Linked DNA regions of Caenorhabditis elegans. The protein of the gene in region 2 purifies or fractionates together with the protein of the main gene of each other region. This does not show direct contact. Each region holds a gene or a part of one and is shown on either strand. Other genes may lie near its edges. The genes, in order: ego-1 and cid-1.

What was found.
Region 1: the proteins of cid-1 (region 2) and ego-1 purify together in Caenorhabditis elegans (affinity purification with western blotting, with the first as the bait; one study listed by BioGRID). This does not show direct contact.

Annotation. Positions count from the first base shown.
Region 1 is NC_003279.8:7,645,187-7,661,931, reverse strand, and holds ego-1 (RNA-directed RNA polymerase), read left to right. Parts: upstream 1-5,593; 5' UTR 5,594-5,659; coding exon 5,660-5,767; intron 5,768-5,810; coding exon 5,811-5,975; intron 5,976-6,019; coding exon 6,020-6,394; intron 6,395-6,443; coding exon 6,444-6,584; intron 6,585-6,662; coding exon 6,663-6,797; intron 6,798-6,842; coding exon 6,843-8,024; intron 8,025-8,068; coding exon 8,069-8,446; intron 8,447-8,494; coding exon 8,495-8,606; intron 8,607-8,654; coding exon 8,655-9,097; intron 9,098-9,164; coding exon 9,165-9,638; intron 9,639-9,683; coding exon 9,684-9,863; intron 9,864-9,911; coding exon 9,912-10,050; intron 10,051-10,097; coding exon 10,098-10,627; intron 10,628-10,676; coding exon 10,677-11,046; intron 11,047-11,098; coding exon 11,099-11,265; 3' UTR 11,266-11,591; downstream 11,592-16,745. Other genes in the region: F26A3.4 (Protein-tyrosine-phosphatase), read left to right, coding at 3,653-4,002, 4,216-4,315, 4,416-4,523, 4,578-4,700; rrf-1 (RNA-directed RNA polymerase), read left to right, coding at 12,165-12,272, 12,367-12,525, 12,576-12,896, 12,972-13,094, 13,143-13,286, 13,365-13,544, 13,606-13,872, 13,921-14,463 and 8 more.
Region 2 is NC_003281.10:5,167,050-5,183,862, reverse strand, and holds cid-1 (4Fe-4S ferredoxin-type domain-containing protein), read right to left. Parts: upstream 9,942-16,813; 5' UTR 9,872-9,941; coding exon 9,790-9,871; intron 9,493-9,789; coding exon 9,035-9,492; intron 8,915-9,034; coding exon 8,752-8,914; intron 8,702-8,751; coding exon 8,394-8,701; intron 8,232-8,393; coding exon 7,239-8,231; intron 7,190-7,238; coding exon 6,656-7,189; intron 6,574-6,655; coding exon 5,717-6,573; intron 5,205-5,716; coding exon 5,096-5,204; intron 5,047-5,095; coding exon 4,635-5,046; intron 4,304-4,634; coding exon 4,093-4,303; intron 4,048-4,092; coding exon 3,927-4,047; intron 3,840-3,926; coding exon 3,810-3,839; 3' UTR 3,356-3,809; downstream 1-3,355. Other genes in the region: Anaphase-promoting complex subunit emb-1, read right to left, coding at 10,103-10,216, 10,286-10,417; K10D2.5 (uncharacterized protein), read right to left, coding at 10,627-10,764, 10,811-10,903, 10,948-11,073; prp-19 (Pre-mRNA-processing factor 19), read left to right, coding at 11,821-11,973, 12,070-12,808, 12,872-13,254, 13,304-13,507; ulp-1 (Sentrin-specific protease), read left to right, coding at 14,124-14,163, 14,212-14,313, 14,380-14,516, 15,039-15,341, 15,389-15,670, 15,977-16,129, 16,182-16,279, 16,328-16,813.

The DNA.
Region 1 (16,745 bases), on a different chromosome or scaffold from region 2:
TTTAGAAATCTAGAGCCAAAACATTTAGATCCGCCAAGGGATTTTAGCCGTAGGCAGGCACATCTTTAGGCGTGTGCGCCTGCCTTTTGCCTCTTTTCTGCAACTTTCAGTAAACTTTTTGTAGGCACTGTGCATTTGCAAGTCGCCTTAAAAGCAAAAAAAGCAACAGTTATTGAGACTATAGAACCAGGATTTGTGGACATACCGTGCATTCTCTATTAGTGCTGCACCTCATTGCTCAACACGATGGTATTTAGGAAAAAAAACTTTGAGTTTTTGCAGGTTGACAATTTTTGCCAGATCTAAAAATAACCTTTCGCATTTTGCTAAAAGGTGCATTTACTGCAAAAATCAACTCTCCTTTTTAATTCCGCGAAAAAGTGTGTTATCAGCTGAATTGAATCCAATAACCCACCCTTTCTTATCAAAATAAAGACAGTACCGTAACCTTTGGGTACAGTATCATCTGTCATTTTCCACACCTTTCATCATCATCATCATCACACTCTCGACGCCTACAATCTCTTGTTTCAACCCATGAAAACCAGATTTATCAACGCCTTCTTTTTTTGGAGTGACTGATGCAGTGGTTATTGTTGTGGAACTTCTTCTTTTCATTCTGAACACGCCATCTGTGTTCCCATTGATTAAATGTTGTATCAACGTGTCAATCAATTACTTCTTCAAATCAACACGATCTTTTTGTCTTTTTTGTTTCTTATCCATTCTCTTTTGAGATCAGTTCAAACCACCAAGTTCTTTTTGGTTCTTCCTCCTCAATGTGTACTCAACTCTGGCCAGAACTTTCGAACTTTGAGAAATAGTAGGTAAATCGCGGAGGGTTCTGAGATATAGAGACATTGACTGGCCAAACCACAAGGAACGAGCATTTGTCGGGTGATTTCAAAATATTTTAAACTTTGAATTTCAAACTACGAATAGTACAAACTCAACCCAATTCTTATTTATCTATAGCTTTTATATTCCAGTTATGTCTTAATTCTTTTAATTAAACAGTAGATACTCGGATATGCATTAATGCTTTAAGGTTCTCAAAAATTCCATATTTTTTGGCAAATTTGGCGACTTGTAAAAACTTGGTCTGAAAATTTTTAATATTCTTTTAAAAAATTTTTTTTAGTTTTTTAACCCAATTTCAGTATATTTTGACAAACTATGAATAGAATCTTGACGTTCAGTCGACCATTTCTAATTTCCTGAGTGCGTCTGAATCCATAAATCAGACTCGATGAATCATGAGACATCTCCCTCAAATTCATAATTATATTCTAAACTACAATCACAAGCTTCCGACTATACGATTGTTTTTCTTTGTCTCGGTTTTCTGTTTATAATATTCCAATCAGCTGTTTTGTAGTTGTTCATGAAATTTGAGAAGATGGAAAACAATGTGAAATCAGGAAAAAACAATGGAAATATTCCTCAGAATTTTTTAAACAAGCCTCCGCATATAGTAATTTTGTAAATTTATATATTCGGACTGGTCTTGCCGCGAAAATATTTATCACTCATCCTAATGAGTTCGTGCACCTTTGAGTACAAATATATGAAAATTGCGAAAGTACCAAAACTTTTTCTGAAAAACTCCATTGCCATCTTCTAATTTAGTTATGATCTCTGACGTCTCTCACTCTCTCCAACATTTTCCCATGTTGAATTGAGGTCGACTCACAGTGACATGTGACTGTCTTTCTTTTCATGTGCGTGCGAATTTCGACCATTGCGAAAAAAACTATTCAATTTCTTTCCCATCGCACGTTTTTTTCTAGTTTGGATCAGTTCTCCTATTTCAGAAGTGGGCGGTTGGAACATCTGATTGTGAGAATTATAAACAATTTAACGAAAAAAAAAAAATCATGTGGTAGACTTATTCAAAAGCTTATATTCATTTTGAAGCTAGCAAGATCAAGAGTTTATTGAACAGGAAGATAAGAATATAACGTCAACAAACTATTATTTTTAGTACCCATTTCGGCACGTTTACCATCAAAACAAAAGTGTAAAAAGTGAACTATGTCTCCTGACTCAGAAGCAGTCAGCGCGTGGGTACATGTAGATATGTAGACTAAATGTAGACTAGATGTGCGGTACAGTTTTATGCAATTTTAAAAACTCAAATTTCAATTTTTCGAATTGAGTTGTCAAAGTTCATGAATTCCAATTTATATAGGACTATAGAAAATATTTTATTTCGCGTTTGATTAGTTGAACTGAAATGAACTGACTAGTCTTAATAATTTTTCTATCATCTAAATTCCCATGACACATTTCGATGAATGAATTCTACTAGTTCAATGTCCTTTGTGACTTCCATTTAATTTCAGTTAATTGAACACATGCTTAGATGACGTCCCAACTCTCATGATAGTCGTAACTGGATACCCTTTGCCCCCATTGTTCAATCCCGCCTTTCTTCAAGCTCCACCGAATACACATATCACTGATCAGATGAAAGAACAACTGCTCAGCGGAGAGCTCGTGTGAGCTCTCTCTCTGACTCTCAGACACACTACAGTCGTTGGAACCACGCCTCTTCCCTTGATTTTCTAATCTTCTAATCATTTTTGGTTGTGCTATGTATTCTGTGTTTATTCTATTTTGTCCCAAAACTGGAACTTTCGAAAGTCGTTGATAGTTTTTTCTTGCCTTCTCTCTCAATCGACACGTACAGACAATCACGTGTGTACAAGAGAGAGGCGGGGTCACACAAAAGCACTGAACGACCGAAAGTCAATCAATGTCTATATATTCCTGGTGGGAGTGGTCATCAAAACCATCATAATATTTTGTATTTTATCACTTTTTGGCTCCTCCTCTATGGGAGGACATGCATCCTTTTTGATTCTTGAACAAGTATTTTTCAGTCTTTCATTCTCTTTCTCTCATTCTCTCTGAACTTTATCTTTTTTAATCATTCACTTCCGATAAAACTTTTCTCTCAATCTTCAACAGATGGTTCTTCGATTCGTGAAGATGGGGCCAGGATAGAATCAAAGCAACTAATCAAGGTCATAGAGTATAGAGTCGCAGAGTGTGAGAGGAGAGCCAACAGAGTGAAAATACATGTGAGCGTCACATGCTTCTTCTCAGAAGAATATGTCAGATACATTTTGCAGTGTAGAGGAAGAAGGCGAATACAAATCTCTCCGCGATGATCTTTGTTTTTTTTTCTTTTTTTTCCCCTTCTTTGGGTGCTTCTCCTTTTTGGTTTCTCTTTCTTGATTTTTTATGTCAAATCTTTGGTCAAAGCTCGAAGTGATTTCCTAGGCACACTTTAGGAAAGTAGGTATAGGCCTCATCAGGTAAACTTTTTACCGTACATACTTTCACAACTTTGCAAATTTTGAGTTCAAAATGTTTCCCCAAAAAGGTAAAAACGAAATATAAATATCGTTCCTTCTCCATTATCAATTTTAACCACATGTTTTCTCTTCGTTCTCCTTCCATTTCATTTCATCCGAAACACTTAATTCTCCCAAAGTTCACACTCTTATCACAATCTTCTTATCTCAATACATCTCTCAACATCATTCCCTGTTGTCACGTGCCCCCTCGTTTCAATTTCTTTTTTCTCATTGATAACCTCTTGGTACTCGAATCAAATTTAATATGATTACAGATACACTACAAAATGACACTGTCTTTCCGTGTAAATCCAGAATATGCGGCCATGTCAGAAATCGTTCCGGGATTATTTATCTGTGGAGTTTCTGCGTTGAGCAAAGATGAAATGAAGAAACATAAGATCACACATATCATAAATGCAACAACAGAAGTTCCAAATCTCAGAAGTCTTGGAGACATTCAACGTACAAAACTTTGGCTTGAAGATACTCCACAGACATATATCTATCCACATCTTGAACTTCAATCTGATCAGATTCAAGCACTCATTGCTGATGGGGGAAAAGTTCTCGTGCACTGTGTCGCCGGAGTGTCACGTTCTGCTTCCATCTGTTTGGCTTTCTTGCTCAAATATCGGTATGTCATCTTGTTTTAGTTAGAACCAAAAATAGTCCAGAAACTCAGTGCTTTCCCCTATTATAAATTCTATTGGACATGTGCTTTCATGTGATATCATAAGTATCCAATAAATGGGAAGAGAGCACGTGCCGGAAAACAAAAACTAATGAATCTGATGTTTTCCCATGAACTAAAATAGAATGCACATATTGATTTTTGATCTATTTCCAGTTGCCGAAATCTTCGTGAAGCTTATCATTTGATGAAATCAAAGCGTTCAATGGTTCGTCCAAATCTTGGTTTCTGGCGCCAACTTATTGCTTATGAACAGGTATGTAACTGAAAGTTAAAGACATAAACACTCAAAATCTAGTTTGATCATTCTTATTTTCTTATCATTAGGTCCAAAGTTTATAATTTGTATCTTACAGAACGTCAAAGAAAATGCTGGTTCTGTTCGATTGGTGAGAGATGAAGCTCAACCAGAACAATTACTTCCCGATGTTTATCTTAATATTGCAATTCCAGCTAGACCAGCTGTAAGTTTACAAATCATATTTCAAACTACAGAAATTGACCCTTTTAATTTTCAGAGCCCGGAGCAAGATCCAAATATGATCCCAGATGAGCCACGAGAACGCCGAAATTCTGGATTCAAATCTAAATTCCGTCCAGTGCTTGAACCTGTGATGGAAATGGCTGAAGCTGTTTGCTGATTATCATTATTTTCCATATTTCATATCATATTTTCTTGTTTTTTTTCTGTTTTCCTCCCTTTCCACCTCCCACCATGCACACCAATTAGGCGCAATTACCACTTTTTTTCCCTGAAACGGGTCAGTGCTTTAGTTGTTCAATTTCAATTTCTTTTCAAATGTTATTCTATTCCTCTCTCAATTATATCAGAAATACGGGTCGAAATCTGTAGTTTCCGGTGCCATGTAAATAAATTTTGAGATTTATTAATTTTATCTTCATGTTGCGAATTTCCATTCAAACACAAGTTCTCGTAAAATAATCATTAGAAAAATTGGAGATGCAGATTATTTAAAAACTATTCGGACTTTGGACTAATAAAAATACAAAAAAATCGAATTCCTCGTCCCGACTAAAAATTAACTTGTGAAAGTTTTTTCTCCCATTTTTGCCAAAAAAACCAAAGCCCAAAAGACAACAGCCCTTGTCTCACCGCGACAACGAAATTTTTGAACTATAACGCGTGCCACTTTTTTCTTATTTGTTTCTCGCTCATAGCTAAAAACTGCGAAGAAGAAGGTTAATAATTCGAAATTCGATTTCAAAATGCCGCTGCCTTCAAAGGAGCTTAAATCGTTGTGAACTACAAGTCTCGCAACGAACAGGGCAGATACGATAGCGCGCCAGAAACGTTTTTCGAATTTGAATCAATTTTCATCCCAAATGCCCAAATATTTCTGTTTTCTCATTTATTTTATATGATTCATGATGCTTTAGTCTAGTGAAACGTAATTTTAAAAAATCGAATATTTTTAACGCTGCAATTCTAACCAGAAAATCTCTTTTTTTATCTAAAAATTTAAAATCCGTGTAACCATGGTCTAAAATGTTGAAATTGTAATATTTTTCTTACAGACCATCTACCTCAAAACGATTTTAGCCTAAGATATATCAAAAATTATCCCGAATCCTCGCAACAATGGGGGACGAAGGTTATCGTGGATGGATTAAACTCGAAATTCCCTGTTCTCTGCCAGAGCGGCAAATGGGACCCATAGTTAAATGCCATGTAGCAAAATTAGAGCCAGTAAGTTAGACAATGTGTTCATCAATCATTTTTTTTGTTTTAGGCATTGAATGAATACAACATCAAGGTTTTGACAAAAGGACAGGTTCAGGTTGTCGAAGAGCAAGATTGTGAGCCGTTTTATGAAACAAATTATGAAGTTGCGACCAGCAGGTTTTCACATGATCTAATTGCGGCGATCCAGACATATTTAAAAGATTTATCAACGGTTTGTTGCTGTCGAAACTTTCTATCGTATTCGTACTTTTCCAGGATCATCTTATGCCATTCCAACGTGGAAATCTCGTTCTTCACAGTTCCGATTTTTGGTCTTCCGAATTGACATGTCATTTGGTTGATATTCCGCTTGCCGCTGTTTTCTTTGGAAATATTCAAGGCGGAACATTCATTAATCATTGGGAAGTGTCTTTCTGGGATGACGTTAGACGTCGGAAGTCGGCAAGAACGAGGAATACTGAACCAACACAAGCCGATAAAATTGGAATGAACCAAATCAAAGTGGAGTTCGAATTCGATAAAATTGATTTTATGACAGTTCACTTCAAGCACTTTGAAAATGATTTTGAGGTTGCTGATAAAGATGCGAAGAGGACCAAACAAACAGTTACCATGTATTACCAGATTACAGTATGTTTTCAATAGAATTGGGAATAAAAATCATAACAAAAACTTTCAGGTTAGGAGAACTTCTATTCGTCGGATTATTGTTGATCCTGTCGTTCAAGATTGTAATGGTTCGGATCGGATTCGTGTACATTTCGAACTTAATTGTCCTGTTCTCATTAGAAGAGCCTACCGAACGGCAAAACAGGAATCGGTGAGCACACCCAAGCCGTAAACCATGAAATTTCGCGATTATGAAATATCGAAATAAGATGTTAATTACAATTTTCAGGAAAATCGGCACTCCGTCCCACATTATCGAAGATATTTGGTGATCAATCGTGGACGAAGCGCGAATCAGTATCCAACAGCTAAAGCAATAACGGATAGTCCTGTGTTCACAATCGAGTTTGATCAATCTGTTGGGGTAATAATTCAATATGCATCAAGTTTTTACGTGTAATTATTCCAGCTCAATGAAATCTACCGCTTACTTTCAAGACTTCGCATCCGTACTGGAGTTTCCATTGAATTCGCGGACATTCCTTCGATTGACTGTCTCATTTGGAGAGAGAATCCTTATAACCGTTGGACATTCCTAAATAATCAACATCTGTCGCCCACTCATTTCTCTGCGCCTATTTACAGAGATTTCATCACGACCGCATTTCCAAAGAAACATGAAGTATGTGGCTCTCGAGAAGTTGACACCAACAGGGAAAGAAAATTCGCCATCACTTATCTCCTGGAATGTCTGATTTCGAGAGGAGCAGTGGTTAAGGATCAAATTTTGCTTGATGAAGGAATATGGCACCGATTCCTTGAAGTGATTCTCCACTACTACACGAAAGATGACAAACTTTGTGAGGCCGGACTTGAGGATTTGGTTCACATGATCGATGGTAGAAAACGAATTGGATCATTGATCAAGTGTTTCGATAGAATTTGTCAAACGAGACAGAGAAACAGTCTGGTTAATGGATTAACAACTGAAGAAATGAGAGAGGGATATCAAAGAGTTCGAAAGATTATTTTCACACCGACTCGTGTTATCTATGTGGCACCGGAGACGTTGATGGGAAATCGAGTACTGCGACGATACGACCATGATGGAACAAGAGTTCTAAGAATCACTTTCCGAGATGATGATAATCAGAAAATGCGAACGAATAAAACTTCGACTATGCTTGAAAAAACCGTCAATCAATATCTCAAAAATGGAATTACTGTTGCTGGTCGTAATTTCGGCTATTTAGGAAGCTCGAACTCACAAATGAGAGATAACGGTGCTTACTTCATGGAAAAATATTCATCATCACAGTGCAGAGAATACGAACGGATATATCAAATCAAACCACCAATCACTTTCAATCCAAAGATCCAAGCTGCTCGAAAGAATTTGGGACGATTCGAGACTATTGACAACATTCCAAAAATGATGGCTCGTCTTGGACAGTGTTTTACACAAAGCAGATTGTCAGGAGTGAATTTGGAAAGATGCACGTATATGACAACGTACGATTTGACTGGAGGAAAAAATTTGAAAGGAGATGAATACACGTTTTCTGATGGAGTTGGAATGATGAGTTATCGATTTGCTCAAATGGTCTCAGAAGTTATGGATTTTGGAAAAGGTGTTCCCAGCTGCTTTCAGGTACCATAATCTTTTCTTTGGTGTTTCTTAATAGTTTTTTTCAGTTTCGTTTCCGTGGAATGAAAGGAGTCATCTCAATCGAACCTCTTCTTGACAATCTTCGCCAGTGGTCAATTTCGTATAATATCAGCAAACCGAGCGATGACAGTTCGTGGAGCTTGAACTGTATGTTTCGCCCAAGTCAAATTAAATTTATTTCAAAGAGACACCCACGTGATCAAGTGGAAATCGTCAAGTACTCATCGCCAGTTCCAGTGGCATTAAACAAGCCATTCATCAATATTCTCGATCAAGTTTCGGAAATGCAATCCTTGGAATGTCATCGAAGAGTAACAAATCGAATCGAAGAGTTACTGGACAGACAAATGCTTTCTTTTGCCCAACAAATGGTGGATGAAACTTTTTGCAGAAATCGACTGAAGGTTTGTTATTAAATTACTGATAGTATCCTCATTACTGTTATTATTCAGGAGCTACCTCGTCGCGTAGATATTGACTACTTGAGAACAACATGGGGATTCACATTGTCTAGCGAACCATTTTTCCGATCTCTTATCAAAGCATCGATCAAGTTCTCAATCAGTAAGTTTAAACGAATGAAGCTTTTTAAACAAACCATATTTGTTACAGCCAGACAACTCCGAAAAGAACAAATTCCCATTCCGTGTGATCTCGGACGGTCAATGCTTGGAGTCGTTGACGAGACTGGGCGTCTTCAATATGGTCAAATCTTCGTACAGTATACCAAAAATCTGGCCCTGAAACTTCCACCCAAAAACGCTGCGCGACAAGTTCTTACAGGAACGGTTCTCTTGACCAAAAATCCATGCATTGTTGCCGGAGATGTTCGGATTTTCGAGGCTGTCGATATTCCAGAACTTCATCACATGTGTGATGTAGTAGTATTCCCACAACATGGACCGAGGCCTCATCCTGATGAAATGGCTGGATCTGATTTGGATGGAGATGAATATTCTATCATTTGGGATCAACAGTTGCTTCTGGACAAAAATGAAGATCCATATGATTTCACTTCAGAGAAACAGAAGGCGAGCTTTAAAGAAGATGAAATCGTGAGTTTCGTTTTAACGAGATTACATAAATATATTTAATTCTAGTCGCAATAAATAATATTTTCAGGATGACTTGATGCGTGAGTTCTATGTCAAGTACTTGAAATTGGATTCCGTTGGACAAATCTCGAATAGTCATCTTCACAATTCTGACCAATATGGATTAAACGCAAGAGTTTGCATGGATTTGGCGAAGAAAAATTGTCAAGCTGTGGACTTCACTAAGTCTGGACAACCACCTGATGAACTTGAAAGGAAATGGAGAAAAGATGAAGAAACTGGCGAAATGATTCCACCTGAAAGAGCTGAAAGAGTACCTGATTATCACATGGGAAATGACCATACTCCAATGTATGTCAGTCCAAGATTGTGTGGAAAACTGTTTCGCGAGTTCAAAGCAATTGATGATGTACTCAAAATTTCGGAAGAACGAGACGAGCAAGTGGAGATTTCTATAGATGAAACTATCAAAATTGATGGATATACGGAATATATGGCTAGTGCAAAAAACGATTTAGCAAGATATAATGCTCAGTTGAGAGTGAGTTTTAGGAGAAATAGTTGAAAGATGACCATGTTTTTTCAGTCAATGATGGAAAACTATGGAATCAAAACAGAAGGTGAAGTCTTCTCAGGATGCATTGTTGACATGCGAAACAGAATTTCGGATAAGGATCAAGATGATATGTCATTCTTCAACACAAACCAGATGATCGAGACGAAATTGACAAATTTGTTCAAGAAATACCGAGAGATATTTTTTGAAGTAAAGCTTTCCTAAGCCAGTTACATATGTGTACATGCGTAATTTCAGGAATTCGAAGGCGGCTGGGAAGGTAACACAGAAGCATTCTCTCGTTACGGACGTGATAGTAATATTCTTCAACGACAATGTCGTGCTCCGACAGTGCAGATGATGAAAAAGGCCGTAGCTTGGTACAGAGCTTGCTATGGTTAGTTGGATAACTTGAAATAAAAATAAATACTATTTTAATTTCAGAGGAAGCTCGAATAACTCGAGAAAACAAGAAATTGTCGTTCGCTTGGCTCGCATATGACGTCATCGCAAAAGTGAAACAAGACAAAAGTCTTACAAGTGACGAAGTTAAGATGGGTGGAGCAAATCCATTGTACACAATGCTTGACGACCACAGATCTCAGTATCTTGTCGATAACTCGAGAAAATTCGAAGCTTTTCGACAATTTTCAACACCTAAAACTAGTGGAGAACAAGTGAAACGAGCTCATAGAATCATCAAAATGTACACAGAAACTTATCCAGGATTGGATGCAGTCTTATTCATGTTAGACGAATGGGCACGGATTTCAAATCTATTTGAAAATCAATCACTTCGAGAATATCATTTATCACTGCTATTTATCCTGTTTGCTACAAGGCAATTTTCTTCCGTTGATGGAAATGCTGCCAAGTTCTTCAATAAGGTCGATGAGAAAAGTTACAAGCAGAGTAAAACAATTGGAGACTTTGAGCCCAGTTTATATATTGAGGAAAAAGGAAAAAGTCAGATGGTGAGAAGAATATTTGTGTTATTTTTTTTATAATAATGACTGTTTTCAGATGGTGAAGTTTCTCGAATTTTTGGCCTCGCGAAAGTTCCGAAAAATGGCGAATCTCTCATTCTGTGCTCTTGATTTCTCATCAATTTTCATGCGAGGAGAATGGCAAATTTTCCATTTGGCCGCACTCAAAACCTACTACAACGTGTTATTCAATTTACGATTCGAAGAACTTCCTGTGTCAACTGATCCAACAACTACAGTTCGTTCAATAATTCGAGAAAACGAACCGTTCGTGATTGAATTACCAGCCAATTGTGATCGTTCATTGGTTCATCGCAAGCTGGTAGAGCATACTGGTGTAAAAGAGATATTCATGCGAAACATGGAGAAATCAGTTCGCTCTTCGGATGATGTGCAAAAAATCAATAGTGAGTTAACAAAATCGAATGGTAAACAGATTTAATTTTCAAATTATTATAGTGCGTCTTCTGGTTTCTACACGTGGAACTCTCGAGTCAATGTACAAGTTGCGTCAACTGGTTGCTGTAAAAGTTCCCATCAAAACGTACGTAACGGGACAAGATGTGTCTACACAGATGGCTCGATTGTGCTATGAAAAGATTGTCAGAGGACACATCAACATCTAGAATGTTTCTCTTATTCGTTTTTAGCAGTGTTTTCAGAGATTTTAAATGTTTAATATGGTTTTCATTTTAAATTTTATTTTTCTGTTTTTTTTTTGCATGTTTTAATTGGCATGCTTATTTCTGTTTCTTTTTCTCATTATATTTTCCTGTTGTTTCTTTTGCTGATTGATTGAAATGGATAGGTTTCTCCTTCTTTTCATCGTTTTCAGCGTTTCGGTTATCTGTTTCAATGAATTGTCTGTTTTATTACGAATCCGATATTTGTATTTTATTTGTTATATGCGTTTTTTCGTACATGATTTTCCTATTGGATAGAATATAGCCAGATTTCTTGAAAAATTGAAATGCTGTCGATTTTGTTTGAATTTTGGACCAAACTATCGAACTTTTTTCCTTCTCGACTGAAATCAACATTTTTGAAATGCAGTTGTTTTTGATCAGAAAAATTTTAAAACATTTTAAATATACAACTTTTTAAAGGTGCTCAATTTTCCGAGATGAAATTAAATTTCTTTATTATTAGAAAATAGTTTTAAATGAGTTTCCGTAAATAAAATTACGGAATAATAATCACGATACTTGCTCACTGTTGCATTGTCACCACAGTGTCTTTTTCAGCTGTCTGCGTCTCCGACGGGCAGCGTCTTTTTCAGTGAACCGATTTTTGCATTTCAGCGGGTTGTTAACTTTCAAAAAATGTTTTTGTAAATTTCAAAGTGAAGGTTAATGAGAACCTAATTTATAGTTATTTTTAGTTGTATAACAGTAAAAATTTAAATATCCAATTGATCGATGGCAAATTTAAAAAATCTTTATTTTTGTTTGTCTTCCATAAAACCTTGTTTTTCGTGCGTTGGCCATTAAAATTTATCTGTATAAAATTTTTCAGACTCCTCGTCATGTCGGAACGAAGTCATGGATTCATTAAATTTGAATTTCCGGAATTCGATAACTCGCTTCAAGTCATCGAAGGAAGTATCGATACAATGTTACTGACATTTACTTCAGTGCGTCATGGTTTTGAGAATTTTAATTCATTTTTTGGACATTTTTCGATTAAAAAAATGACGCTTGTTTTAATAATTATTATGATATTTCTAGGTTCTTCGTAAATACGAAATCGAAATCAAATCCCGTCAAGAAACTCAAATTGTTGAAGAACAGGACTGCGATTGCTTCTTTGAAATAAACTTTGAAGTTGAGAGCGAACAGTTTGATCACACAATTATAGATGCTATGCACGATTATTTATCAGATTTGGTGAGTACTTGAATTCATATTGGACGATTTCGAATTAATTTTATTTTCAGAATGTGTACGTTCCGTATCAGCGGCCTAACATTGTCCTTCATGGTTCCGATTTTTGGTTGAGAACTCTCGATTGTCACACAGAGATTCCACTTGCTGCGATTTATTTTGGAAATATACAAGGAGGCACATATTTCAATCATTGGCAGGTTTCATTTTCACGCGAAAACATATCGTCAAGAGATATGTTGCATAAGATACACGCCGAATTTGAATTCGATAAAACTGATATGATAACAGTACAATTTCAATGTTTCGAGGAGAAGAAACAGAAGTTTGAGGATTCGAGGAAACAAAAAGTTCGAGTGAACTATCAATTAACAGTAAGTGTTTAGCTGTAGCTATCAAATCCAATACTGGGAGAATTTCTTAAAATTTAATTAAATTCAAAAATTCAGATTCGAAGGGATTCAATTCGTCGAATTATTGTCGATCCACGAGTTGAAGGATGCAACACATGTGTTCATTTTGAAGTTAATTGTCCCCCACTCATCAGGAAAGGATATATTGATAATGATAAGGTAATTTAATATTGATCACAGATTTTTATAACAATTCTAATTGTTTAGTCATCGTTTCATAAACCCTTCTATGAGCGTCAGAAACGGTTCGATTGTGATTGGAGAAATGGAAATGTTAATCATGGTAATCCACAAGATGCTGCCATCGCAGATAGTCCTTTCTTCACAATTGAGTTCCATAAAGAAATATCAGTGAGCTATTTTCTACTGTTTTATGATAGATTTTGATGATTAAGCATCGTTTTTTATTATTATTATTCTCTAATTCAGACAAAAGAAATGTATCGTGTGTTGTCTCGTCTGAGGTCTCGAACCAAAGTTCTGATTGAATTTGCGAATCTTCCGAGCATTGATGTTCCGATGGGCAGTCACTATCCATACAACCGGTGGAATTTGAAGAAATCGCCGACCGACTCAAATGCGCCCATTTTTAGAGAGTTTCTGAAAGAGGTGAGTTAGTCTTTAAAAAAACAAAGAATTGCCTCAATAATCTGAGTATCAATTTTTGCAGATATTCCCACCGAAATATGAAATAGTAGATGATAAATTGATTGATGTTAATGAGGAACGGAAGTTTTCTATCACATATTTGATTGAATGTCTGTTGTCACGGGGAGCTATTGTGAAAGATCAACTACTACTGAATGAGCAACATTGGAAAAATTTCCTGGAAATTATCATTTGGTACTACAGGAATGATAATCAACTGTGTGAAGCTGCCTTGGAAGATCTCGTTCATTTAATTGATGGTAGAAAGCGAATCGGATCAATTTTGAAGGTTGTGTTTTTTGCATATTTTTTGATAATTTTTTTAAAAATTTTTCAGTGCCTAGATAAAATTTGCCAAAAACGTGAGGTTATGAAACTGGTTAATGGTTTAACAGAAAAGGAGAGCATAGAAGGATATCAACGAGTTCGAAAAGTTATCTTCACACCTACGAGAGTCATCTACATTGCACCAGAGACGATCATGGGAAATCGAGTTCTACGGAAATTCGATAAAGATGGCACCCGGGTGCTTAGAGTAACATTTCGAGATGATAATAATAAGAAAATGAGATCAAATGTTACGGGTAAACTTCTCGACAGGACGGCGAACAAGTATTTGGAGCACGGAGTTCGAATTGCAAATCGTGAATATGGTTTCTTGGGATGCTCAAATTCACAAATGAGAGACAATGGAGCATATTTCATGATGAGATTCACAGACAAGCAGCTTGATCGCTTCTACAAATGTAATCCGACAGCATCGAATATAAACTTCAAGCCGAAAATCGACGAAGTTCGATTTCAATTAGGAAGATTCTCGGAAATTGAAAATGTTCCTAAGTTGATGGCGAGATTGGGTCAATGCTTCACTCAGAGCAGGGTATGTTTTTAATTTTTATTCAGTTTCATGGATTTTTTAGTGATAACTTTCCATCATAATACAAGTATGAATTTCAGCTAACCGGTGTCGGACTTGGACGAGATGATTACTGTAGCACGTACGATTTGACTGGTGGACGAGCGACAAACGGAAGCGAGTATACATTTTCTGACGGAGTTGGAATGATGAGCTATCAATTTGCACAGGAAGTATCCCAAGCGATGCAATTTGGAAAAGCTGTTCCTAGCTGCTTCCAGGTAAATTAATTTCGTGTGAACTTAGGTAACTATAGTTTTTGCAGATTCGATTCCGCGGAAATAAAGGAGTCATCGCTATTGAACCCTTTCTGGATGAAATTCGTAAATGGGCACTTGTGAACGGTGTTACTTCGATGAAAATGGCGAAATGTTTGTTCCGTCCAAGTCAAATTAAATTCCAAGCTAAGGCTATTTCGGGAGACCAAATCGAAATGGTAAAGTTCTCGTCAGCGGTATTGGTTGCTCTCAATAAACCATTCATCAATATTCTTGATCAAGTTTCCGAAATGCAATCGTTGGATTGTCATAAAAGAATTACGAGCAGAATTGAGGAATTGATGGATCGTCAGATCTTGTCATTTGCCAAACAGATGAATGAGGAGACCTTTTGTAGAAACAAATTAAAGGTTTGTCTGAAACATGAAATAATGAAACTTTTTATTTGGAACTCTTTCAGGAGTTTCCACGTCGTATTGATATTGATAACTTGAGAACAATGTGGGGATTTACATTGTCTAGTGAGCCATTCTTCCGTTCCCTAATCAAGGCATCCATCAAGTTCTCAATCAGTGAGTTTTCCGAATTGTTTTCAATTTCTCAATTTTATTATTTTCAGCGAAACAGCTTTGCAAAGAGCAAATTCAAATTCCCAGTGAACTTGGTCGATCTATGCTCGGAGTAGTTGATGAAACTGGACGTTTACAATACGGACAAATCTTCGTTCAATACACGAAAAATTACAAGAAAAAACTTCCACCGCGAGATTCCAACAATAAAGTTCATGGAAGTGAGATTGTCACAGGAACCGTTTTGCTCACTAAAAACCCTTGTATTGTCCCCGGAGATGTTCGGATTTTCGAGGCTGTCGATATTCCAGAACTTCATCACATGTGTGATGTAGTAGTATTCCCACAACATGGACCGAGGCCTCATCCTGATGAAATGGCTGGATCCGATTTGGATGGAGATGAATATTCTGTTATTTGGGATCAGGAATTACTTCTTGAAAGAAATGAAGAACCTTTCGATTTTGCTGTTGAAAAGATTAAAGTACCATATGATAGAGAGAAGCTTGTTAGTTTTTTTTTGTTCATTTTTTTTTTAAACTTTGGTGTAATATCAAATTTAGGACGTCTTGATGCGTGAGTTTTATGTCACATATCTGAAATTAGACTCCGTTGGACAAATCTCGAACAGTCATCTTCACAATTCTGACCAATATGGGCTGAATTCGAGAGTTTGTATGGATTTGGCAAAGAAGAATTGCCAAGCTGTTGATTTCACAAAGTCTGGACAACCACCAGATCCATTGGAAACGAAATGGAGGGCCGGTACGTATGCGTATTCATGAATATGGTGTAACTACCTATTTTCAGATCCCGTAACATTCGAAGTTATCCCTCCTGAAAATCCTGAGCGAATTCCTGACTTTCATATGGGAAATGAACGAAGTCCGATGTATGTCAGTCCAAGGCTTTGTGGAAAACTATTCCGAGAGTTTCAAGCAATTGACAATGTTATCAAGATCTCTGAAGAAAGGGATGAACAATATAATATTGAACTGGATGAGACTATCTTTGTTACTGGTTTTGAGAGATATATGGAAAGTGCTCAAAAACAATTATCCAGTTACAACGGACAACTCAGGGTTAGTTTGAAGGCTGAGTAAAGTTTAAATACCCAAATTTTACAGTCTATTATGGAAAACTACGGTATCCGGTCGGAAGGTGAAATCATGTCAGGATGCATTGTCGAAATGAGAAATCGAATTTCGGATAAAGACCAAGATGATATGTCATTCTACAACACTAATCAAATGATTGAAACAAAAATGACATCTTTAGTGTGCAAATTCAGAGAAACGTTCTTCGAGGTACAGTTTATTTCAATATTTATTTATTTTTTAATTTCTATGCCATTATCAGGAATTTGGTGGATTCACAGTAAAATGTACACTTTTACCAAATGCTTACGATAACGGCAACTGTCTCAATTACCGTTGCGAAGATCCAGATCAGGAGGTCA
Region 2 (16,813 bases):
AAGTAGATTTACAAATCTGAACTGAAAACATTTCAACTCGAAAGGAAACGAATTTCCTCAAAACTTGCAATATTTTGCAGCTTTATGAGAACTCCCAGAAGACGAACACGTTGAAAAATAGGAAAATTGAATACAAAGGAGAATAGGGACAGCATGCCTGCACACGTGGTGCGTCTACCATTAGAAAAAACAGAAAAAGAGCGGGAAGAATGAGAGAATGAGAGGGAAGGAGAACGAGTGCGATAAAGTATTTACGCCTTCTGTGCATGTGTGCATGTCTGGTCTTAATGCAACCACGGCGGGAACATCTGTCATCCCGTATCGACATCATGCTCTCTTGGGCTAAATAATAGATGACGAGTGGCATGAAGAGTAGTGATAGATATGAACATCAAGATCTTCAAATCCGGTTTTAAAAAGAATATTCTAAATCTTGACTATTTAGATAAAACATTCTAAAGTTCGACACGGTAGTATTTCTCGTATTTTCCTTTTTCAGAATGAAACTCTTTGTATTAGATTATTTCTGGATAACTAACGCTTGAATGCATTTAAAAAAACAAGATTTGCTTGAATCTTGAATTCATATTTACAATAAAATCTAGAGCCTCTTAATCTAGATGAACAATTTCACTGTTGTAATAAATTCAAATTAAAAAAAAAGAAAACTTGAAAACTACTATATAAATCAAACAACAATACTTTTCATCGGGGGAACGCCTAACGAGAGAGATTGTGAAAAAGAACACACAGTTAGTATTGACTGCGGAACCAGCCAACCAATAAACAACAAACAACTCGCTGTGTCTTATCAGATAAAAAGAGAAAACAGGAAGAAGGTGAAATTCGAAACCGTATACGAACCACAAAACTTTAGAAGTGTAACACGCCAACGTGCTCAATTCAAGAAAAAAACCAAATATAGCTCATGATTTACATATATTATCCTAGAATAAAATGACGTGGTACACACTGACAATTAACCTCTTTCTCGAGTTCTACACACACCTGCGCACCAAATGACACCTACTTTGCACACAAAACAATGCAATTTCGGCGCAAAAATAGGAGAAAACGTCTCTGCAGGCTGAACGTTTGGAACACATCAAAAATAATAGTTATGAGTGGTGTTCTGATGGAGAAAAACGAAAAACACGGAGAACGACATAGAAGTGTGAATGTTTTTGAATTCTTATCAACTTTATAAAAGGGAATAGGAAAGAATTTTAGGTTTGAGTCAATCTGAATCGGCCAATCAAAAGCTGAGAATGAGCCCTTGGATACTAATATTTTGCGTGTCCATTAAATTTTTTGGCGAGTCCATCTAGAGTGAACTTTTTAATTTAGTGGAAAATATCGACTTGATTGATAAAATATTTGAGTGCCGCAAAGTAGCGATCAAGGATTAAAGAGCATCGTTTTCGCTAGTGTCAGTGTTATAAAAAACAGAAAAACTCTTTGCACTCAAAATCTAATACCGTTCTCTCAAAAGATGGGAAATATTCCGAGACTAAACTTTTTCACAAAATTTTAGGCCAAAATTCAAAAATTCATGACTAAAAAATAGGGCTGCGATGAAAATCACGAAAATAAAATCGATTCGAAGAGCAAACAGTCTCTTTCAGAGCAGAAAGGGTTTGAAAAGTCAATAATAGAGGGTCATTTAATGTTTTTAGTGATTTCAAGAGAGAAGAATATGAGAAAACATGAATAACATTGATTTCCTCATATTTTTAATCAAACCAGAAATGCACCTGCCGCCTTGAAAGAAAACGGCTGATCGGCGGCGATAAAATCAGAAAAGTTTTGGTTTTTGTTAACGAAAAAAGCAATGTCAAAACGTCGATGAATTTTTTTGCTTGAAAAGAGATCTATCTGAATCAAATTCAATCGAAACTCGGCATTTTTAGGATGTGAAAATGAGGGAAATTCGGGCGGAAAATATGAGAAGACCGGCAAGAGAGTGTGTCAGATCAAGAGGGCGTAGAGAAAAAGAGACTGTCGACAGGCCCAATGAGAGACCATTCTGCGCTGAGAGGTGGTCGAGGAAACGAGAGAAAACCAGAAAACGAACATGAACAGTCCGATCCAAAAGAAGAAGAGAAGAAAATGAGTTGTGGAAATGAACAAAACGAAGTTGAAAAATAAGAGAAAACTGTAAAAAACGAACAGATCAAAACGCAACGAACGAGCAGGAGACACAGGAGAAGAAAAACACATGTGTATTGGTTTACTTTGACAGAAAAAAGAATTTGGCGCATTTTGGTCAAGATCGTCTACAAGTCCGGACGGCACGTTTTGATCTATTTGTTGTCTGGTCTCTCTTGCAGTTTGCGCACTGAGAGGAAACGCACCTCATTGCGGGAAATGACGTAACCCATTGCAGTGTTCAGCAGTTTCTTTCGAATTCAACGGAAATTACAACGAAAAGTATTATTTCGTTTGAGAAGTCAAACAATTTTCAATACAAAAACGAGAAAAACATTCGCGCGATGATCAAAATAGAAAAAACCGGTAAAAAATTCATTAAAAAGTAGAAGGTGGAAATGCGCTCCATCGCGAATTTCTCCGCCGCTAAATTCAAAAAAGATAATAACTTCCTCGAAATTAACATTTAATTGAGCTTAAACTCGCTTGATCAAAGCTGGAAACGATAATTTAATTTAATTTTCAAATTATTGGCCAACATTTTGAAATATTGCATAAAAAATAATGAGATACTTTTCCTCAAATGCATTAAAAAATTAATTCATCGTCTGTTCGCAAAAACTTGAAACTGGCTGCTAGAAGTTTTATAAAAGTTTTAATATTTATAGTAAATTCAGGCTTATCTGTAGAGTTTAAGATATACACGTTCATAAACGTATTATTCAATTTAAAAAATCGTAAAATGGTGGTAAATTTTTACGAATTAACAATTTTCTGAACAGTGTTGAATTAGAATTTAGTGAAGTTTTTCCCAGATAAAAACAGAATTTAGTTGTCCTTGGCAGCCAATGGTGAATTTTTTTGTAATCAGGGAATCAAACAGTTGATAACGAAACATGCCAACTTGTACAGCACGAACATGATCCAAGAAAAGTGATTAGAGACTGAATGGGCGAAAAATCGAGAGCATTCGAGACGTAGACATCAGAAGAAAACTGATCGGTTGCTTCTCTCACACAATTTTGCCGAGTAAACACATTCATCCCCGGGTGCCCGGGCTCCCGATTGTTTCGTACACTTTCTAGACCCTCTCACGGTTTCCTAATGTCTTGTTGCTTTACTATGCGAAAGTGAAAAAAAAAAGAAAGAGTGGGATGTGGAGAGACGTTGGCAACTGGATTTTTAGGGACTTTTGAGACAAAAAAATCATGGGGAAAGTTTCATTATGAAAAAAAAATTGGGTGGGAAGACTGTTGGTGATAGTGTCCAAAATGGACCCGTTAATGGTGCAGAATTGTTTGGATCACAAATAACACAACAGAAAACGAACAGAAAAAGTACAACAACTCAAATGTGATTCCTAGATTTAGGAAGATTCTTTTTAAATTATAATTCAGAGAATTTGAAAAAAGAAAAACAAAAAAAAACACGGATCCTAAAACATTTTGGGAGTAGGGAAGAACGCTGGAAGGCACATGATAAATGATTAACTAGGGGAACGATGAAAGCAAGAAAAAAATTATAAAGATGATTATAGTGGGGGAATGGGGAAATAGAACTAGAATATTCTTCTGGATATATACGTATGTATACACATTCAGAATAGTTTTCGTGGGGGTGAAAATCCAGTTTGTTGTGTGAAGTGAATGGGTGGAGAGAATTTATTTGTTGTACGAGCGATGATAGTATGTCTGAAAATATTTTTATGTTATGAACGTAGAAACTTGCTGAATAAAAGCCAACAAGAGTGTTAAACTTAAAAAAATATTAATTAATACCCTTTTGTGATAAGTCAGACGATCGCCACCTTCCTCTCCATTTTTGAATCCTCTTCCACTATCATTTGATCGGTATGATGAGTTTGTCGAGTTTGATCCAAATCGCTTCCGGGCTTCTTTTCTGAAAATTGTTCATTAATAAAATTCTACTTCTGCTTTAACATACGCCAGGGCTCTTTGCGGACACGATTCTACAAAATGTCCTATCCTATGACATTGATGACATTGACGATCAGTTGGAGCGGATCCTTGATTGCATTTTCGAAGTAACTGGTGTTGATATGATGATAGGAAAGTGTGATCTCGATTCATCGGTGGTTTCTCAGACATGAAGACTGCTCGTGAGTTGATGAACACTTTCATAATGAATACGAACACTGAAAAAACAAAAATATCAGTTTCATTTTGAAATGCTCAAAAATGTCTAAAAGTCAGGAATAAAAATCTAACTTTAAAAACAAGACTTAATAATTTTATAAGATTACTTTTGAACTTCCTTAAAAATGAGAACTACGATTAATTAGCGACTCGCTCCGCCCACTTTTGAACCAATCAGACGGAATGGGTGGAGTTCGAAGGCGCTGATTTGTCGTGCAGTTCTCATTTTGGAGGAAATTCAAACAGGAAGATTGAACATTTTTTTAAACTAATATACATCATCTGATTCTGAACATCTGAACATCTGATATAAATCAATTGGCAACATACTTTTCTTGTTAACACCGCTGCTCAGATTATGGCTCAAATCGAATGGATCCTCTACACAAAGAGGTCTCGGCCACTCTTTTTCCATTTTCGACAATATCATTTCCCGTCGACATTGAACAACAAAATTCCGGAAATCAAAACGCGAATAATAGTCAAAGTATCCAATGAGCAGCTGAGCACACGATTCTTTGTTTTTAGGCCAACGTTGTAGCAAACTGGTCTCAACTTGAGCAAATGACGTATCCCAGTTGTCAACGAGTCGTCTTTCCCGATTATCACTTCGAAAATCTTCTTGAAGGCGTGGAAGAACCGGTGGATCACAGTTTTGAAGATAAGAAATGAGCATGATGACGTGACAATATGAGCTCAATGATCCACGTGATGCATCTCCGATTTCACAATTTTTGGCCCACTGGAAATTAGAGGATGAAATTTTCAAAAGAATAAGAAAAACTAGCTACAGTCTTCACAAAGAGAGCCAATTTAGCAAAACGTTTGTCAGGCGTCCACAATGAATATTCTTTCAGAAGAGCTGTGTTGTAGATTGCCAATATATTGTAGTAGGAGATACTGAAATTTAGAATAATTTCAGATAATGACAATTATCTTTCATCCACTTATTTTCTATATTCCTAGTAGTTAAAAAATCAATTTTTTTCTAAACTCTTATATATGTGAAAATCGTAAACCTCTGAGATGGTCTCGTGTCGATTTACGCAGCTCGTGTACTCCCCTTGCACGTGGTGTCAGGCTGTCCCATTACGGTTTGACCTACAAAAAATGCGGCAATTTTTTCCCCAAAAAAATGTGACGTCAGCAGGTTCTTAACCATGCGAAACCAGTTGAGAACTCTGCGTCTCTTCTCCCGCATTTTTTGTAGATCTACGTAGATCAAACCAAAATGGGACAGCCTGACACCACGTGCCCTTGGAGTAGTGTACATTGTTTTTTTTTTGGGATTTTACAGTTATTGACTATGATTCTTTTTCAACTAAACACTATAACTACGAGTCAAAATTTTTTCGAGATTTTATATTTTAAAAATTCTGTTCATTTTGAAAAATTAAATCTTCTAAACTTACTCGACATCAATAATTGCTCCATTGGAAAGTTTCACTTGAAACTTGACAATTGGCACTTTTGCAGTGACAATTGCTTGAACTCTCTTTACCAAATGACATTTTCTGAGAACGGATTCAGTTTTCTGAATAACTTCTTTTGCTGTCAAATCCTTTGGCGGAACATCTCCATCTCCGAATCTCAAACAAATATCAATATCTGAACAATTGACACTTAATCCTGTCATAACACTTCCAAATGTTGTAAGAGTGACATCTTCACGATAGTTTTTCCTTAAAAATGATTGAAGTTCATCAATCTTGTGATCCAACATTTTGAGCCGTCGTTCATCAAGAATATTCTCATGATAATATTTATCAATCATATCATCAATATCTTTCAAATCTTCGGGAGTTCTTGCTTGATATTTTTTAATCGGTGGAATTTCCATCATCGGGCAGTTTTCAACACAATGACTACCATCACAATGTGTACATTTCATTTCCATTTCAAAGTCTCCACAGAAAAGATCAGTTGAGAATTCATAATGAAAATCTGATGGTTTTAGACTTTTCGATTTGGATACAATATCCTTCAAATTCGAATTCAATTTAATGAAAAACTCTTCACTGCAGAATTGCTTATCGGGGATTACTGTGGATATCGTAGATTTCCCAAATGTCGCATTTTGTTTCACAGGTTTCTGAACAATTGGAGTTTTCATTGGAGATTCAGTTTCATCGAAACTGGATTCCATCATAGATTCATTCATTAGAGATTCTTGTGGTGCTTCTATGAGATCACATTGAGGTTGAGCAACATTTTTTATCTTCACTGGTGCTTCATTTGATAATTTCGTGATGGGTTCCGGCTTGATTTCCTAAAAATTGAGTAAAAATTAGTTTAAAAAAATCAAAAGTTACTTGTCAGTGATTAATTAAAATTTCAAAATCTGAAATTACCGTGGAAACAGGCATGGATGTTACTGCAACGTCAATATTCTTTTGAGAAGAAATCTTGAGGGTTTCCTCCAATTTTTCTGCAATTTCGGACACATTACTATCAGCTGCTTTCGTCTTTTCGTCTATTTCAGAAGAATCTTCCGATAAAATGATGACGTTCGCCTTCTTCCACCGATTGATGAATTTCTTTCCTTTTTTCGTCACAAAACTCAATCCATCCATTGATGCTGCCATTTTTCCATTTAGTCCTGGTTTGAGAACTCTCTTGAATCGCAAAAGTGAATTTCTACCATAAACACATTCTCGATGATCATCAGTGTGATAATCAATTGGTTTTCGTTCATTCACTAAGATTCCATCAATCATCAGACGTTCCTTGAGCTCTTTCATATATTTTAGATGATCTTTATCATTTACAATCTCATATACAGGTTCTTGATAATGTTCTTCCATTATTTGAGTCAATGGAATGGGTGCCTCCACCGTTGCCTTTTTTGGAGTATCCTTGAACTTTTTTCCAGGTTTGATAGTTTTCTGGAATAATAGATATAAAAACATCAAACAAAAAAGAAACCAAACTTACATTATGAACAAACGAAACTTCAATTAATGGTCCATTCTTGGTTCTTGGAATCGAAAACGATACAAATGATGTTAGGAGACAATTGAAAAAGAATGGTTGCCAAGTAGAAACCTTTGGTATTGAAAGAACATTGTCACCACGGAATGGATCAACAACATGAAGAATCTTTTTATTCCAACGGCTCACATCTCGACTCATTGGAATAAGCTGTGTAATTTGGATGACTACGTCCCGATGTCGTTCAACATAATACCGAAAGAAGCCAATGAAGAGCTCAGCTAGATTCCAAGATTTCTTCAAGTCGAACTTCGTACCAATCTTTTCAGTATTCTTCTCATATCGAGACATCAATCTCATTCTACGTTGCCCAGCTTCTTCCGATTGAAGTTTTGCTGTCTTTTCAGCACTCATTTCTTCAATTTTCTCAGTTTCTGGACCTGCTTCAAAAAGTTCATGAAGTACTGGAAGGCATCCGATCTGCTGAAGAAAATGAATGGCCATTATATCAAATCCATATCGAGGAAGTCCGATTCTAGGCTTATTTTTGGAGTCAAGGCCAGCTTTCGTTGCCCAAAGACGAATAAGTTGAAGAAATTGAGCAACTTCCTCTCGTAAATTTACATAGGTCTTCATCAATTCAGAAAAATGAAGTTGTATACGATGATTGAAACATGACATCCAACAAAGTTTAACTCGAACTCCTTTGAATGTAAATATAATTGTTGACGGTGTTCCCATTTCCATGGAATGATCAGCTGGATGTCCATCATCGGCAATCTTCTTTCGAACTTGTTCAAGTAATGCAAATATTGGAGTTCCTTCAGGAATTGACATAGTATATGCCACATTGTAATCACTATCCGGAAGTGTGACGTCATATGTTACAGATCCAAATGGTCGAAGTATCACATCTTGCAATCCAATCGATGGGAATACTGTAGTACTCAAGTAATAGATGATTGTTTCACCGATCTCGATTCCATTTTGACGAACCTGAAAATACTTGACGAGAGAAGGGTTAGTTGAGAGAAAAATGATCGAAACCGGATAGAAAAAACGAAATTTTATTTCTGAATTTCAGCTTTTTAGAGAAAAATCACAATTTATCCTCCGTTAATTTCGTTTTTTTCCAATCCAGTTTCAAGATAATCTAACCTGTTGATACGATTTCAATGTTCCTTCCAAAACTTTTTCAACACTCTCTAAATGTGCTTCAGTCGGAGGTGGAATAATTTTCAAAAGATGCTCCCGTTGTTCCTGTCGCTTAACATCATCAAAATGTGTACTGCTCTCTAAGTGTGCTTTTGCGTGTCCGATTGTATTAATATGATAATCGCACTTTTCGCAATAGTATATGGCCTCTGGGAACGCTTCTAGACGATCGACAAGTTTCTTGATCAAACAAGAAGTCAGAAATCCCTCAGAACACTTTGAGAATGGAAATCTGTCGGATGAAGACTTTGCTGAAACTGTTGAGAAACAGTGAAATGAAATCGGAAAACTCAGTTCAAACCTTTCAAGAGATTCTCAATAGTTTCCCTGCAAGATTTTCTGATCGTCTTTTCATCTGCATCCAATTTCAACAGAGCTCCAGTTGTGATATTGTCATCTCCATGTTGTAATTTTACTTTGATGAATAGTCCATTGCACTTGCTCGTAGTTGGAGTAATCAACAGCTAAAAACTTGACTTTTAAAAATTAATTTCATACATTTTTTTGCTATTTTAAAGTTTAAAGTACGAATTTTGTTCTATTGGAATACAGCGAATGATTTTAATTTTTTATTCACAACTAACCGTAAAATTGTTATCAATTTGAATAGGTACATTCTTTTCCAACGGAAATGAGCTCATTGGATACTGGACAGTCTCTTGAAATGTTTGAGCCGACACGGCTGACCCGGCATTTTTGGAGAAATAATACTCTTGCGTCTGTTTTTTGTTGGCTTCTGCTTGTCGTCCAGCAACATTAATCGTTGTTTTCTCTGGAGTAGTAGGATTTGAATTCCATCCTTTCAATGAAGCTCCCGAATCGCCCAATTCAACAGCCATCAATGGTTGTACAGCGGCAACCAAGGGTCCTGGTGGCGCATTCCGATTTATTGGAGATGTTGGCTGAGAATCCTGATTTCGTTTCAGAATTGTGACTTTTTGAGGAACGATGTTCATTGGAGGACGATTTTGCGATGGATTTCTGCTCGTCTTTTGGGAGGAGGAAGCCGAATCAGCTGGACTGTTTGATGATCTTTTCCGGCCTGTAAGTTCAATGTTAGTTCAATATGAAAATTAAGAAAAAATGAAGAACACTCTGTTCGAAAATTGCTATAAAGTTTTCACTTTGTTTGATAAGAAAGTTGATAAATAAATAAAAGTGGCGTTTCTGCTAAAACTGTTCAATAACTTCAGGATTGATAAGGAAAAAGTTATAGTAGAGAGTGAATCAACGGTATTTTTGAATACTAAGAACAGTAAAACCTCAATCTTTAAGCAATACGAAGGGCCTAATATACTTCATTGTATGAATTTTTAAAAATGATTAGTCATGAACTCACCACTATTCTGGCTATTTCCTCCCCTTCCACCTCCAAGGGCTCCTCCTCTCCGCCTACTTCCAGACCTTTGCTCATCGGTCATCTCACAACTCTTTTTAATAATTACAGTACAATATTAATACCTATTATTCGGTTCGTCTTTCCCAATGAAACTGAAAAGAAGCGATTGAATAAAATCTGGAATAATTTGAGAACAAAATATTAAATTAGGTAATAACGAGGTCAGTACCTCGGAAATGAATTCCATAATTAAAAAAAATGGTATGCCAAATCGAGTTTTATTTACAGATAAATATGGTGTAGAATAGGGAATTCAAGGATTTGCAGGCATATTTGCTGCTGCATGGACAGCGTTCACATGACGTTGATCTTCACGAGTCAGAATAGCCACACTGTCTTGCAAGTGACGCAGAAGATCTTGATTATCCTGCAATAAATTTAGAATGAACAACAATGTACTTTTTCAGAAAAGTGTGATTTTGAAATAAAAACGTACCCATTGAGCTTGACGGTGCTCACAAATCGTGGTGATGAATGACTCTTTTGCTGGTGAGACTTCGGAAACCCACAAGTGCTCGGACCAGTTGAGTGGAGGTTGTGCTACGTGGAATGGGTACATCAAAGCCATACTTGATCTGTAAACGTGGTTTTTTGAATCAAAGTCATCTAAAAAACGGGCAAAAGTAAAATGAAGGTTGTTTCAGCCTATAATAATAAGAGATGTAAAAAGCAATGTATGAAAAAAAATAACCGTTTTATTTAACAACAAAAAAACACGATGTAACTGACACAACTTAAACAACCCGAAATTTGATCAAACTCCCGCTGAGATTTTAATTAATTCTTCAAAACGTGTCCGACGAATGGATATTTCCTAGCACAAATCGGTGCCCATTCAGGTCCACATCCTTCACTACTCTCGAAAAGATCGCGGTTGTTGTCATAGAGATCTTGTGAGCCAGAGAGGTCGTAAATCTGAAATAAACTTATTTTTTTGATAATCCGAAAAGTATTTTATTACTTTGTCTTCCACAATGACCAGGCACCTGTTCTCCTCGCGGCGCATGCTTTCGATTTCTTCCATTGTCATATCACGCTCTTCGAGCTGTTCGATCTGAGAAACAAAAATTCACATCCCAAGATTTATTTGCAAATTACCTCATATTTCGCTGGCTCATTGATTTTTGCAACAAGCATCCTTTTAACAATTTTATTCAAAGCCACGAGAAACACCACAAACACCGCAACATCGATGAAAGTGAGCTCATATTCCCCGATTTGCATTTTTTGGGAAGAAAATTCAAATCCAAATTATTTTTTCAAATCGTTTTTATTCCCCAGTCTCATGGCCGACATTTCTTCGGCCCCGCCCGGAAAAGCTGCAGCAAGTACGCTCCACTGCAGTTTTTCGAATTCTCATTGCATGGAATTCCTGAGACACCACGGTTTCAAGATCTGGTGGGATTCTCCGTTTTCCGGATCTACCATATCCGGATCTACGTTTTCCGGATCTACGTTTTCCGGATCTGGCACCGTGCCAACTCTTAAAACGCTATTTTTTCGAAGAAAAAAGTGACAACGACGCTGCGATGTTACGCGTCGCGTGTTCTTAAGCGTTTCTTCTAGAAGAAAATTTCGAAAAAAGTCGTGCGTTGAAAAGCGTTTTGTGCGTTGGCACGGTGCCAGATCCGGAAAACGTAGATCCGGAAAACGTAGATCCGGAAATGGTAGATCCGGAAAACGTAGATCCGGGATCCCATCAGATCTTGAAACCGTGGTGTCTCGAATTCCTTTGACTTGAAAACTTGCATTTTTTCATGAAAAACTGGTTAAAATTCTAGATTTTCTTTTAAAGACAAGTTTAAAACATTTGATCCAATGCGCCGTTCGATTAGTCACTAGCCAGAGTACGTATTTATTGACCACTCGTTCGATAAATGTAATTATCCTACAAAATTCGCATTGAAACTTTCTTCGTTTATGTCCCACGTCAATCAAGCGGTTTCGTGTATATTTTGCTACTTTCAGGAGATGTCTTTCGTGTGCGGAATCAGTGGTGAACTGACCGAAGACCCAGTCGTCTCTCAAGTCTCAGGGCACATCTTTGATCGTCGGCTGATCGTTAAATTCATTGCCGAAAACGGAACAGATCCGATCAGCCATGGAGAGCTTTCTGAAGACCAGGTTTGTCAACCTTGCAATTATCTTCACTGACGTGAAACTTCGAAATGATAATTCATTGAAAAAACAAAATAATAATTTCTAAAATTCATTTTTTAGCTCGTTTCATTGAAAAGTGGCGGCACTGGATCAGCACCACGCAATGTCTCTGGAACATCCATCCCATCTCTACTAAAAATGCTTCAAGACGAGTGGGATACAGTAATGCTCAACAGCTTCTCTCTCCGACAACAACTCCAAATTGCTCGTCAAGAACTTTCTCACTCTCTGTACCAACACGATGCCGCTTGTCGTGTTATTTCCCGCCTCTCCAAAGAATTGACCGCTGCTAGAGAAGCATTGTCTACTTTGAAACCACACACATCGGCGAAAGTTGACGATGATGTCAGCATTGACGAGTCTGAAGATCAACAAGGTCTTAGTGAGGCAATTCTGGCAAAACTTGAAGAGAAATCAAAGAGTCTGACTGCTGAACGTAAACAACGAGGAAAAAATCTTCCTGAAGGACTTGCCAAAACAGAAGAGCTCGCCGAGCTGAAACAGACAGCATCTCACACTGGAATTCATTCGACTGGAACTCCTGGAATTACTGCATTGGATATCAAGGGAAATTTGTCACTTACCGGAGGAATTGATAAAACCGTTGTCTTGTATGACTATGAAAAGGAACAGGTTATGCAAACATTCAAGGGGCATAACAAGAAGATCAACGCAGTTGTTTTGCATCCGGATAATATTACTGCAATCTCTGCTTCTGCTGATTCACATATTAGAGTCTGGAGTGCAACTGATTCGTCTTCGAAGGCTATTATTGATGTCCATCAGGCACCCGTTACAGGTGAGATATTTGAAAAAAATTCGCTAGCTGTAATTCTTCTATTGAACAAACAATGTTTTACAGATATCTCCCTCAATGCATCCGGTGATTACATTCTCTCCGCTTCTGATGATTCTTACTGGGCATTCTCCGACATTCGTTCCGGAAAATCGCTTTGCAAGGTTTCAGTTGAACCAGGATCACAAATTGCCGTTCATTCCATCGAGTTCCATCCTGATGGTCTTATTTTTGGAACTGGAGCTGCGGATGCCGTTGTGAAGATTTGGGATTTGAAGAATCAAACCGTGGCTGCTGCATTCCCGGGACATACTGCTGCCGTTCGTTCGATTGCGTTTTCTGAAAACGGATATTATTTGGCTACGGGATCAGAGGATGGAGAGGTCAAATTATGGGATCTTAGAAAATTGAAGAATCTGAAAACTTTCGCTAACGAAGAGAAACAACCGGTAAGAAATTGTTAAGCAAATGTTTAATGAAAAAATATAATTTTTTCAGATCAACTCCCTGTCCTTCGACATGACTGGAACATTCCTAGGAATTGGTGGCCAAAAAGTTCAAGTTTTGCATGTGAAGAGCTGGAGTGAAGTTGTATCACTTTCTGATCATTCTGGACCAGTCACTGGAGTTAGATTCGGAGAAAATGCTCGTTCATTGGTGACGTGTTCATTGGATAAGAGTCTCCGAGTATTCTCTTTCTAATTGTTTTTATTACCATTTATTACTAAGTTATTCAAAATTTCACCACATTTTTCCCGTTTCGTTTCCTTGTTTTTTTTGTATTCCGGATTGTTCAGTCAAGTTGAAAATATTCCCATCTATAGAAAAGCTGACAAACTATTATTCTTTCTCCATCTCTCGTTACCATATATTATCGATTCCAAAAATTCTCCTTTTCACTGTGAATCAACAAAAAAAAAAGAGTTGATTGGCTGTCTTCCTGTGGTGAGATCTCTTTCTATTTTTATCTATTGGATTTTATTTTGTTCACATTTATCTTTTTAACAGTTCAACTTTTCTCCAGATTCCCCAAATTTTATTCATTTCATTCAAAAATGATCTGCAGCCAATCTCCTCCGCTTCTATCCCATTCATCTATTCTTTTATTAAAAGTAATTTATGCAATAATTGAATGATTACGTACTGCCTAGAGGTTAATTGCCTTCTTTATTTTGGCTGAAAAACTTAAAATGTTGCCCTTTGTGATAGTATTTACTATAGCAAAAATCTTTTAAAGCAGCTAAAAACTATATTTCAGGATAGCTACTTGAATCTGGAACATCAAAAATAGACGATATTCGATTGAAAGAGAAACGGAATGTCACGTAGGTCTGATTTATCAGACAAAGACTCTCAATGTAGGAGAAGTGAATGAAAAATAAGCTGAAATTAATTAAAATATTTAGCAAGAAAACGACATTGGTTAACCGATCAAGCTGTTACAAACGAAGAAAAAGAGCAGTCGCCAACAAAAAGAACCAGAAAAACGAAATCTCAAGGATTGGGTGGTGAGTGAATCCTTTTCCTTGATCCATAAAAGTATAAATTTGAAATAGCGATCTTCAACATTTCAGGGCTTTTCAATACCTTCTTCGGAATGTTCGTAAGCAGTAATTCGGGAGAAAAGGAGAAAACTGAAGTTTCGGGCGAAGTTCAAGTTCAAGAGGATGATGAAATTATAGTGGAAGGAACGACGAGGAGAGTTGCTGAGGTATATTTTGAGAATAAATTAACTTTCGGAGTTAAGTTCAGCAAATACCGTATATTCTCTATTAGTGCTGCATGCAGCACTAATTTCCAGGCCCTTTTTTAATGCAGCACTATTAGAGACTGCAGTACTACTGGAGACTGCAGCATTAATTTTCGAACGGCTATTTTCAATTATAGATCACTAGTTTTTAATCACAAAACCTCATATTTTAAGCAGAAATTCATAAAAATTGCGAACTTTTGTAAAAAAAAGACCCAATAATTCAATTACTTTCCTAAATTATCAAAAAATCATAAAATATACAAAAAAATACCCAAAAATATCGAAACTGTCAAGTGACTCTTTCAATAGAAAATGGGGTGCAGCACTAATAGAGACTGCAGCACTATTTTTCGGACCCTTTTTGAATGCAGCACTATTAGAGACTGCAGTACTACTGGAGATGCAGCACTAATAGAGAATATACGGTATATAAACCCCCCCCCCCCCCCCCCTAACTAAACATGACCACAGTTGTTACAGAACAAGAAATATATGATTTTTCTGAACGAAGATGCACCTGTGAGAGCCAATGCTGGATCAGAGGAAAATGAAGTTATCATTGAGAAACATGTTCAAAAAAACGTTGAAATTCGGAATGACGAAGAAAAACAAGAAGTTCAAGGAGATTTAGTGCTCACCTTATCATCTTCCCCAAAGTCGCCAAAAAATTTGGAAAAGTCATTTGAAGTACAACAGGATGATGAGGAACCAGACGTTCTTTTCGAGAAAGTAGTCAAGACACCAAATAAGCAATTGCAAGAAGCAAGACGATTTCAGAATGAGGTATTAGTATTCGAATAATTCTATTATAATAAATTATCAAACTTTAGTTGATCTTTCTCAACGACAATCCAGACACACCAGACGATGTATCAGTTATTTCTGACTCTAGGAGCAAAGAATTTATCTCACCGACACCCGATGACAGTGTTAGTCGTCCGATTACTCCGAGCTTATCATCATTATCAAATTACACATCAAATAATGTTCGTGATTATTGGAGACGGAATTCTGCTAAAAAGCCAGAGGTTTTGAGACGGGTCCCTGTTAGACATCAATTTAAGCACTCAACTTCTGTTCGGAAAATGAACACGATTATTGATTTAAAGAAGGTAATTATTTCTTTATGAAGCAGAGAAACTAATGTGAGAAATTACAATTTTCAGTGTATCAAACTGAAGCTTCAGAAATTAATTCTAAATGCCAAAAACTTCTTATTATTAAACTTTATAGGTTTTTTTAAAAACCATTTTGGAAGATTTTTCTTCCCAAATGGTCCGCAAAACCTACAAGATTCAATTTTTTAACATTAAAATTGATTTTGGAACGGATACATTAGACGATTTTGTTATTTAGAATTAATTTCGGTCCACTGTTTTTATAGATAATTATTTATTTTTAAGGTTTAATTATTTCAGATAAAAAATCACCTGTCATCTCGCGATCGACTTCTTCAAGGAGTTGTTGCAAGTGGACAATACGAAGCTAAAGCGATTTCTGGAATTGTTGAAAAAAAACCGAAGAAAATGCAGAGAACATCATCAACTGACATATTAGCCAGAGCGAAGAATGTATGTTCAGGATATTACTGTTATTTAAAACTTTCTGATCTTTTTTCTTCAGAAAATCGCAGAATTGGGAGGATCCCGAAGCAACACCCCTTCACTCTTATCAAGAGAACCATCCATCATCATTGATAGCGAAGAGTCCACTTCTTCAAGGTATTTATTTAAGTTTTTCATCAATTCAAGCAATAATATAAATTTAAGTTACCGCCAACACGCCCGATCAAATTCGTCGGAATCTGATTCATACAGGAAACTCAATGATATTCTCTCGCAAATTAATAGCCTTGGAATCGGTTCCGCATATCGAGGACCGCAGAGATATCAGAATTCTTATCAATTGTCGAAGCAGAAGGAGGATAAACTTCTAGAAGAGGCTCGGATACGAGAAGGACATCGCTCTCAAACAAGAGGTGATCGATTGGAAGATGTTCGGAAGAGACTTGAATTGCAAGGAATCGCTATTCGTCCGAAGGTGGAGAAGAAGAAAGTTGATGATTTTATGGCTTTACCTGATGCTGCTGATGCTCTTGTAGAAAGAGCATGGAGCGGAGGGAATCCAAATGAACAATTTGTGGATGCATTCAGCATTCAGATCTGTAAAAAAGATCTTGCAACATTGAGTGGATTGCATTGGCTGAATGATGAGATCATCAATTTCTATCTTCAATTGATTTGTGATCGGAGCAA